2 linked regions of the Canis lupus familiaris genome follow. The protein of the gene in region 2 purifies or fractionates together with the protein of the main gene of each other region. This does not show direct contact. Links are inferred from orthologs where the notes say so. Each region holds a gene or a part of one and is shown on either strand. Other genes may lie near its edges. The genes, in order: MZT1 and gamma-tubulin complex component 2.

Region 1 (4,325 bases), on a different chromosome or scaffold from region 2:
CTGATTCTTTGACATCTCCCATAGCACAGAGAGAAAACTAAAAAAAAAAAAAAAAAAAAAAAAGGCATTATGAACAATAAAACTGGCACATTCCACATTCATTTTGACAACTAAAATGTATTCAACAAACATTTTGCATAAAGAACTCAAAATCTAATGCTCTTGGGTTGTTTATAGTTTACAAAAGGCATCACATACATTTTCTAAAGTGATCCTCGAAATAACCTTGAGGACTAGAGAGGTACGGGATATGATTAGGGATATCATTTTGCAGAAGATTTAAACTCAGAGAAGCTAAGAAGCACAAAAGTAGCAGTCAACCGCATATGAATGAGTTCAGGTCCGCTTTCGAAGCAACGAAGAGGCACAAGAGGCACAAAACTCTTTCCAACTAAAAGGCTATAGTTCCAACTAAAACCTATAGTTTCTTTATTCCTTATTTCAAGTCTCCAAACACTTAACATACTTCGGATATCCCAGCAATTGCCTATCAAACGACAGCTGCTAAGCCACAATTATTTGCAGCAGGCAGATATATACGAGACAAGGAAGCTTAAGCACGAGTGTCTTTCTTCCACTTTAGCCCCAAAGCACGGCTGATTAGGGCTAGGAGACTAACCGCCCTTTGGTTGCCTCTCCTCAAACATCCTCCTTGCGCTAAGACGTCCAGGGTAGAAGGCAAGATTGCATTACTTTCAGTCAAAGGGGGGTCGGCACGACTAGGGAGAAAGGATCCACTTCTGGAAGGCCGAAGCAGCTGGCTTCCTCGGGGGTGAAGAGCAGAGGTGGACACTCCAGCCAGTGTCACTCCCAGTCCTAAGCGATCACAGCTTGGCGCCCCCCCAGCCGCCCCCCCCCACACCCTCTTCCGCACCTATTCCCTCGCTGCTCCCATTCCCCCCGGGGGACAGCGGGCAGGTGGGTCGGCAAGGGAGGAAAAGGGAGCTCTCCAACTCAAGACAGGAGGAAAGGCCAGGGGCTACAAAGAACGTACCTAGTGGTGCGTATAAAAAAGGAAGCCACCCCAGTAGGCGACTCCAGGGCGCTCCCGGGGGGCCAGGCCAGCTCCCACGACAGGCATAGACTCTTTAACTCCCCGCTTCCGCGCTGTCTTAGGCCAACCAGCGCCCAGGCCCCGTGGGGGGACTGGCCAATCGCGTCGCGCCGCCGTCCGCGAACCAACCAATCGCATCGAGGCCGCGTAGCAAATTCGAACGGCAACTCCCCGCTTCGCATTCCGCGCAGAGTAACGAGGCTCCAAATTTAAATCAACGCAGCCTCACGCCGGCGACGAGCGCGAGGGGCGGAGCCTGCCCGGCGTGAGCGGGGGACGCGTGGTGTGATTGCCCGGGAGAGAGGCCGGCGCTCCAGTTCCGGGTCAGGCCCTTCTCCCGCCTCCCTCGGCCTCCGCCATGGCGAGCAGCAGCGGCCCCGGGGCGGCGGCGGCAGCGGCGGCGAACCTCAACGCGGTGAGGGAGACCATGGACGGTGAGTGCCCGTTTCTCCCCCTCGCCCCCCCCTTACCTTGTCTCCGTTTCCCCCAGCCAGGGCCCCCAGGCGGCGGGAAGCCAAGAAGGACTTGAGGTCCACTTCCGGCCCCGGTCGGCATCTTCGAGGATCCTCCCAGGGGATCCGCCGAGGCCGTGGCGCCGAGGGTGCCATCCTTCGAGAGCGCTCTCTGGGCTCCGGCGTGCTGTGTCGCGCGCACGGCGTTCCAGCCGCCACGTCAGCCGGGCGCGCGCGCCCCGCGCCTCACGCACGCCACGCGCCTCCCGCGCCTCACGCGCGCCGCCCGCTCCGCACCCGCTCCCCGCGCGCCTCACGCTGCGGCGGGCTCCTGGCGGCCTTTCCCGCGGAGCCGGCTTCGGGCGCCGCCCCCCCCCCCCCACCCGCGGCGGGGCGCCGTTTCCTCAGAGGCCCGAGCCGGAGGGAGCAGCCCTCGAGACTGCAAGCCCCGTGTGGAGAGCGGCCTTGTGCGTTTGGTCACCGCGATGTCCTTTGTCCCTGACGCTTGTTCACTGTGCGGCGAGCGGGCGAGGCGCCCCGCCCTCAGGAGCGCTCCGAGGCGTCGAGGAGCAGGTGCCGCCGGCGGCTGGGGCTGTGCGCCGCTTTACCTGTTTCCGCGGCACGTGGGTGGAACGCCCGCGCGCACGTGCTGGAAGACGACGGGCCCTGGAGTCAGGTTCTCTACCCTCGAATGAATGCCGGTTCTGACACTGTGCTCCCCTTCCGGGGGGGGGGGGGGGGGGGGGCAAGCTATGTAGACGTTTTGAGCCCATTTCTTTCTTTTCTATAAAGTGAGTTCACCTCCTCCTAAAAGGTATTTGTGAATATTTAAGACCACAAAGCAAAGGCGTATCAGAGGCGATAAAGCAAAAAATAGTTACCATGACCTTTGGGTTGTATTACATGTACATCCCACTACTTGCGGACTCCTCCTTTGTCTCCATTTTATTGCATCCTCTCATGGGTTTGATGGATGTTGAATGTTGCCCCCCCCCTTTTTTTTTTTTTTGCATTTTTCCGGGGGGTTACTAACATGAGTCTTCATCTCTATTGAAACATAACTCTGGGGGATACCTGGGTGGCTCAGCGATTTGGCGCCTGCCTTTGGCCCAGGGCGCGATCCTGGAGTCCCGGGATCAAACCCCACATCGGGCTCCCTGCATGGAGCCTGCTTCTCCCTCTGCCTGTGTCTCTGCCTCTCTCTCTCTCTCTCAAATAAACAAATAAATAAATAAATCTTTAAAAAAAAGAAAAAGGAAAGAAAGAAAGAAACTTTGCAGTTCTCAGTTGTGCCAGCCTTCCTGCTGAATCTCCCTGCCGGCTTCACTTACTGATACAGTCACTCCTTAAAGGGCTTTCAGTAAGATTTCTGGCTTTTTCTGCACAGGTTGCTGCTTTCCTTTGCATTCTTTTTTTTTTTAGGTTTTTAAAATTTATTTATACATGAAAGAGAGAGAGAGAGGCAGAGACACAGGCTGAGGGAGAAGCAGGCTCCAAGGAGGGAGCCCGACGCAGGACTCCATCCCGGGTCTCCAGGATCACGCCCCGGGCCGAAGGTGGCGCTAAACCGCTGAGCCACTGGGGTTGCTCTGCTTTCCTTTTCAAAGAACTATGTACATTAGAACATTTGCATCTAACTTTTTACTTACCAAGTATCTATTTTGCTGTTTCTCTGAAAAGAAAACAGACTTTATTCTTTAAAGGTTTTATTTATTTTAGAGGTGGAGGCAGAGAGAGAGAGGAACAAGGCTCTACTCCATCCCATGACCCTGAGATCAACCTTGAGCTGAAATCAGGAGTTGGATGCTCAACCCACTGAACTACCAGGCACCCCAGAATTTTATTAACATCGTATTCAGCCTATTTCCCATTCTTTCTCAGTGTACCACATTATAGGTTTCCCCAGCTATCTGGAAGCAGACTGGTCCCATGAAACGTTTCCTAAGCTGAAATTATGTAAAGTGAAGAGCCAATACGAATTGGAAATTTTTTTGAGCATTCTCAGACCCCAAAAAATAACCTTTCTTAGGGTTTTTTGATGCCCTAGGATACATCTTGTTAACAGATGCACAAAATAAATAGAGATAAAGCACAGATGCCCCCAGACACTAGTTTAAGGGTCTGGGAGCTTAATGGCAAGAGATTGAGTTTAGTTCCTGGGGAAGGAGCTTGGCAGTAACAAACACTAAATGCTGGGGTTATGTGCTGGCTCTAATGGCTTATCGTAAACAAACACTCAACACTATTTTCACTTTTTGCCTATTTTCATAAAAGCAAAAATTTATTGGATTTCTTTTGGTTAGCAAAAATAGCTACTAATGTATGGCTTCCATAAAAGCAAAGTGAAATAAGACAAACTTTCAAAAAGTGAGCGATGGTTATATTGTCTTACATCTTTGCTTGGAAGCCGGTGGGTCTTTTAAAGAATAGAGTATGAGGCCCCACTTCTGTCAATTTTCTTATGATGGCTATACCTAGGTTCCTCATTTATACGGCCGCAAAATCCTGTTTGAATGGAGAACTCCCAGTTTATCACTGGTGGAACTATTGATGTACAAATGAGAACTGACTATTGGTTGTGTCATCAATATTTTTACTGGGAGGAGTGTGTGTAAAATGAAGATTATTGAGAGTGAAAGAACAGGAAAAAGTGAAGAAATACAGATTTTTTAAAAAATAAAAATTGAGAGGCTCTATGACTTAGAGAACACTGCTCCTTCATATACAGTTAGTCCACAAACCTCAAGATAAAAAGGCCCCAGGTTGGCACTGAATCAACATTTGTTAAATGTGGCAGCTAGGGAATATCACGTCCATTA
Region 2 (3,803 bases):
CCTTCACCCACCACGACACGTGCCACCCGCTGCCCCACGAGCCGGGTGGGAGGCAGGCACGTACCCAGGGAGGCCAGGATGTCTACGGTGCGCATGGCGGGCTGGATGTAGAACCAGAGCTTCTGAAGGGACAGGAGACCCTGCCTCTGCAGCTGCTCCAGCTGCGTGACCAGGATGAGGTACTCCTTCACCAGGGTTCTCATGGCGGCCGCCAAGGCATGGTTCACCTGTCCGTATTCGAAGGAAGACTTTTCTTCGATGAACCTGGGAGAAACGGAGCACCGGGGTCCTGTGAGCACGGGAATCTACATTTTCAAATCAGAAATCAGATGTTCCTTTTGGTTTCTTTAAAGATTCTATTTATTTATCTGGGGGAGGAGAGAGCATGAGCTGGGGAGGGGGCGGGGCAGAGGGAGAGGCAGACACCCCGCTGAGCAGGGAGCGCGACCCGGGGCTCGATCTCAGGAGCCCGAGATCACGACCTGAGTGGAAATCAAGGGCTGGACAGTCGGCGCTCCGAGGTCAGATGTTCGGAGTCCCCTCCCCACTCAAGGTCTTCTCCCTGAAGGGAACCCGTAGACACCAGCCCCTGCACTGGTCCCAGGCCCTTCAAAACCATGTCGGGTGTGAAAGCAGGTCACAAGACACGGATGCTCTCCGGATGAGGACTCGAACGAGCTTACAGACACAAAGTGCAAGCTGCGGGGGTCAAGAGCACTGGGAAGGCCGGTGTCCAGCCGCAGGTCCCGTCGGGCACCCACCTGGTCACCGTGGAGTAACTGGCAGCCACCGGGAGGATCCTGTTCACCAGCTCCCTGATGGACAGGTCGAGGTTGGGATCCACGAGGAAGGTGCGGCTCTGCCTCCCGGTGAGGGGCTGGGCGGTGATGTACCTGCCGTCCACACCCACCAGCACGTAGAGCAGGTCCTCCACCACGGCCGACTCCTGGGAGGCCAGGGGCAGCGTGCCTGTGGGCCGCAGACATCAGCCGGGCCGTGGCCCCACCTGCAGGGCCCCCCACTCCCGCTGACCTAATCTACCCAGTCACGTCCCCGCTGGTTTCTCTCTGTTAGTCCCTCAAATAGTCACGGGTGCGAGCATCGGGCTGCTCCCTGGGATCTGAGTCCTCCCAGTGAGGTCCCCAAGGCTGGGATTCCAGAAGCACCACGAGCACAGGGCAGGCGGAGCCGGGGCTGCGCCACAGCCTAACGCACCAGGGACGTGAAACCCCCTAGACACAAACGAAGGCTTGGCTGTTAAAGGATGAAGTAGGGAACTGAAGGAGAGCTGCTGACACACGCTGTCCTTACGGCACCGGTTACGACTTCGGGTCTGGGCCGCTGAGGGACATGAAGACTTTCCTTAAAGTCTTCCAGCACGCCTGCACCGCAGGAGGCGCTTTCCTACAACCACCCAATCAAGGACAGTCACACGCCACCAACCAGGACCACCGCCAAATGCCTCCTGGCCCAGGCAGCTCCCTGTCCCTCTTGTTGCACGGCCCCAGGACAACGCTCGCCCTCCTCCCCAACGCCTGCTGGGACAGACCACCACACAGCCCCGCTTTGCGCAGCTGGCCCCACGGCACCCGAGAACCGGGGCTGGCAGCCCAGGATGGTGCTGCCCCGCACGTGCACGTGCCAGTTCACAGAAGCACTGCTGGCGTCACACACCTGCACACCGGCCTGCCGAGGTCACAGGCCCTGAGCACACCAGCCACCTGTCCGTGTGGCCGGATCACGTGGCATTCAGAGCCACACTGACTTCAAGCTCCATTTTCTCTCTGCAAGTGCGAAGGCCATCAGGACTGTCCTACTCACAGCTCCCACGGGGGCCCCAAGGATCGGCCTCCGGCTTCTCAAGCACAGGCGTGCCTTCCAGGACCCGCCGCCAACCCTCGCCACCACTCACTCGAAAGCCGAGCACCACCCCAGTCAGAGCCCCCAGAGCACTCGGTGGGGGGGTGGGGGGGGCAAGAGGTGCAGCACGGGGTCGGCTGCTCCTGGGTGGGAACCTTGGCTTCAGGGGCAGATGCCCCGCTGCCCCCCAGGGCCCCGCCCACCCACGGAAAAGGACGACACTGCAAGCTATGCCAGCAAGAGGCCGGCCGAGAGGAACCGCTGCGGTGGCACAGGCAGCCTGGAGCCTGAGCTCTGAAGGGACAGGGACAGCCAGGAGGAGGGGATACAGTACGGGACGTGTGGCCAGGAGGCCAATCCACCAGCGTCTCTGCGGCTCACCAGGGTCTGGGGAGTCCAGAGAGGCTACGCGGGGCACAGGCCTGAGGCTCAGGGCCGCTAGCTCTGGGATGATGGGCAGCCACAGGGCGGCAAGGCAGGATGTGAGGCTCCACAGCTCCGGCCGCCTGCACCAACGGAAAGAAAGCTAAACACCCAATCCTCAGCCACGCCAGTGGCATCTCAATGCCCGCTGCCAACATTCAGCTGCCGGCCCCATACGAGGTAGGGCAGATCCAGAACATTCTCTAACAGAGAGGTGGGAAGTGGTGAGCCGCAAGGCAGTGAGAGCAGGACAGTGTCTGGACAGGAGGGGCAGATGGAGGTGGGGGACCTGGGACCGGGCTGGTGCAGCGGGAAGGAAGCAAACGCAGGCGCCCACCCCAGCTCCAGGACCCGATGAACTGTGACAGGAGTCACCACACAAAAGGTGGAGACACTAGAGGGAAGGTCGGGAGCCCCACCAAAGACAACAGGCAGATGGCCACATGAGACCCAATTCAGGGAGGTGTCCCGAGGGCAGAGATCCAGGAATGGGGGGGGGGTATGATTCCTTAAAATAAACAAGACCTCCCTGAAGAGGGAAACTGGCAAGGAAGACCCGGGAGCCAGCCCCGAGAGTCCCTGTAGAAAAGAATGTGGGGGAGGGGAGGAGAGACAGGACTATCCAGGCGCAGCAAGGACATAAGAGCCGGCACCACCGAGACCCAGCACTCAGGGAGGACAGGGCCCGCGCTGCTCAAAGGCGCCCGGGTGGTAGAAACGAACACACCACATACCTATGGGCACAGCCGAGTCCGTGCTTACGCCCGAGCCAGTCAGGAAATCCCCAACCAGTGTGGGTCTCTCGTATACCCAGGGCGGGAAGACGGGGAGGCGCTGGCCTGAATTTTTTTTGTTCTGCTTATCTCGAAGCAACTTTCTTGTAAGTTCCAGAGACTGGTGAGGATGTTTTAAAAAATAAAGAGAAACGTACTGTTAGTACAAATACTTAGAGCTGACGTCTGTGACACTAGAAAAGTCAATCCCTGAATCACTCAGCAGGAGGGTTCAATAGACACGTGAAGAAATGAAGTGAGGGTCTCCATGCCCATCATGGCACAAGGCGCTGAGGACCAGACAGGGACCTGTCATCAGGGGCTCAGTCTGTGCGGAACCCACAGGCCAACCAGGAGCACCAGCAAAGGACTGCACCCTTCTGGGGAGCACCTACAGACTCAACTGCTTTCCCCTGGTGGCATGAAATCTAGACGTCACCTGAGCAGTGAAGATGAGGCCCCTGTGACAGCCAGCTAGAGAAGGGGGCCCCTACCTGGGTCCCCCAGGGCAGGGGAAGGCCAGCTCTGCACGTGCCCAGAGCAGAGGCCCTCCTGTGGGACCAGCCACCAAAAGCTGACCGGGGCAGTCATAGGGGCCAGACTTTTAGAAGCACCAGGGTCAAGGGTGGCCAGCAAGAGGGCAGGTGCCAACTATCTTGTCATCTGTCACAAGGGACAGCAGTGAGAGGACACATAAGGTGCCGATGTGTCAGAGCCACTGAACTCGAGCACAGGCTCCAGTGACAC

What was found.
Region 1: the proteins of gamma-tubulin complex component 2 (region 2) and MZT1 purify together in Homo sapiens (affinity purification with mass spectrometry; 4 studies listed by BioGRID and IntAct, counting the BioPlex papers as one, with this or other methods). This does not show direct contact. The link is inferred for Canis lupus familiaris from reciprocal best matches to the Homo sapiens genes TUBGCP2 and MZT1.

The regions. Positions count from the first base shown.
Region 1 is NC_049243.1:26,981,481-26,985,805, reverse strand, and holds the start of MZT1 (mitotic-spindle organizing protein 1), read left to right. Parts: upstream 1-1,295; 5' UTR 1,296-1,412; coding exon 1,413-1,488; intron 1,489-1,524; coding exon of another isoform or gene 1,525-1,662; exon of another isoform or gene 1,663-1,688; intron 1,689-4,325. Other genes in the region: BORA (protein aurora borealis), read right to left, coding at 1-37, 1,525-1,662. UniProt on the Homo sapiens protein: Required for the recruitment and the assembly of the gamma-tubulin ring complex (gTuRC) at the centrosome.
Region 2 is NC_049249.1:41,386,419-41,390,221, forward strand, and holds part of gamma-tubulin complex component 2, read right to left. Parts: intron 3,178-3,803; coding exon 3,018-3,177; intron 970-3,017; coding exon 762-969; intron 265-761; coding exon 65-264; intron 1-64. UniProt on the Homo sapiens protein: Component of the gamma-tubulin ring complex (gTuRC) which mediates microtubule nucleation.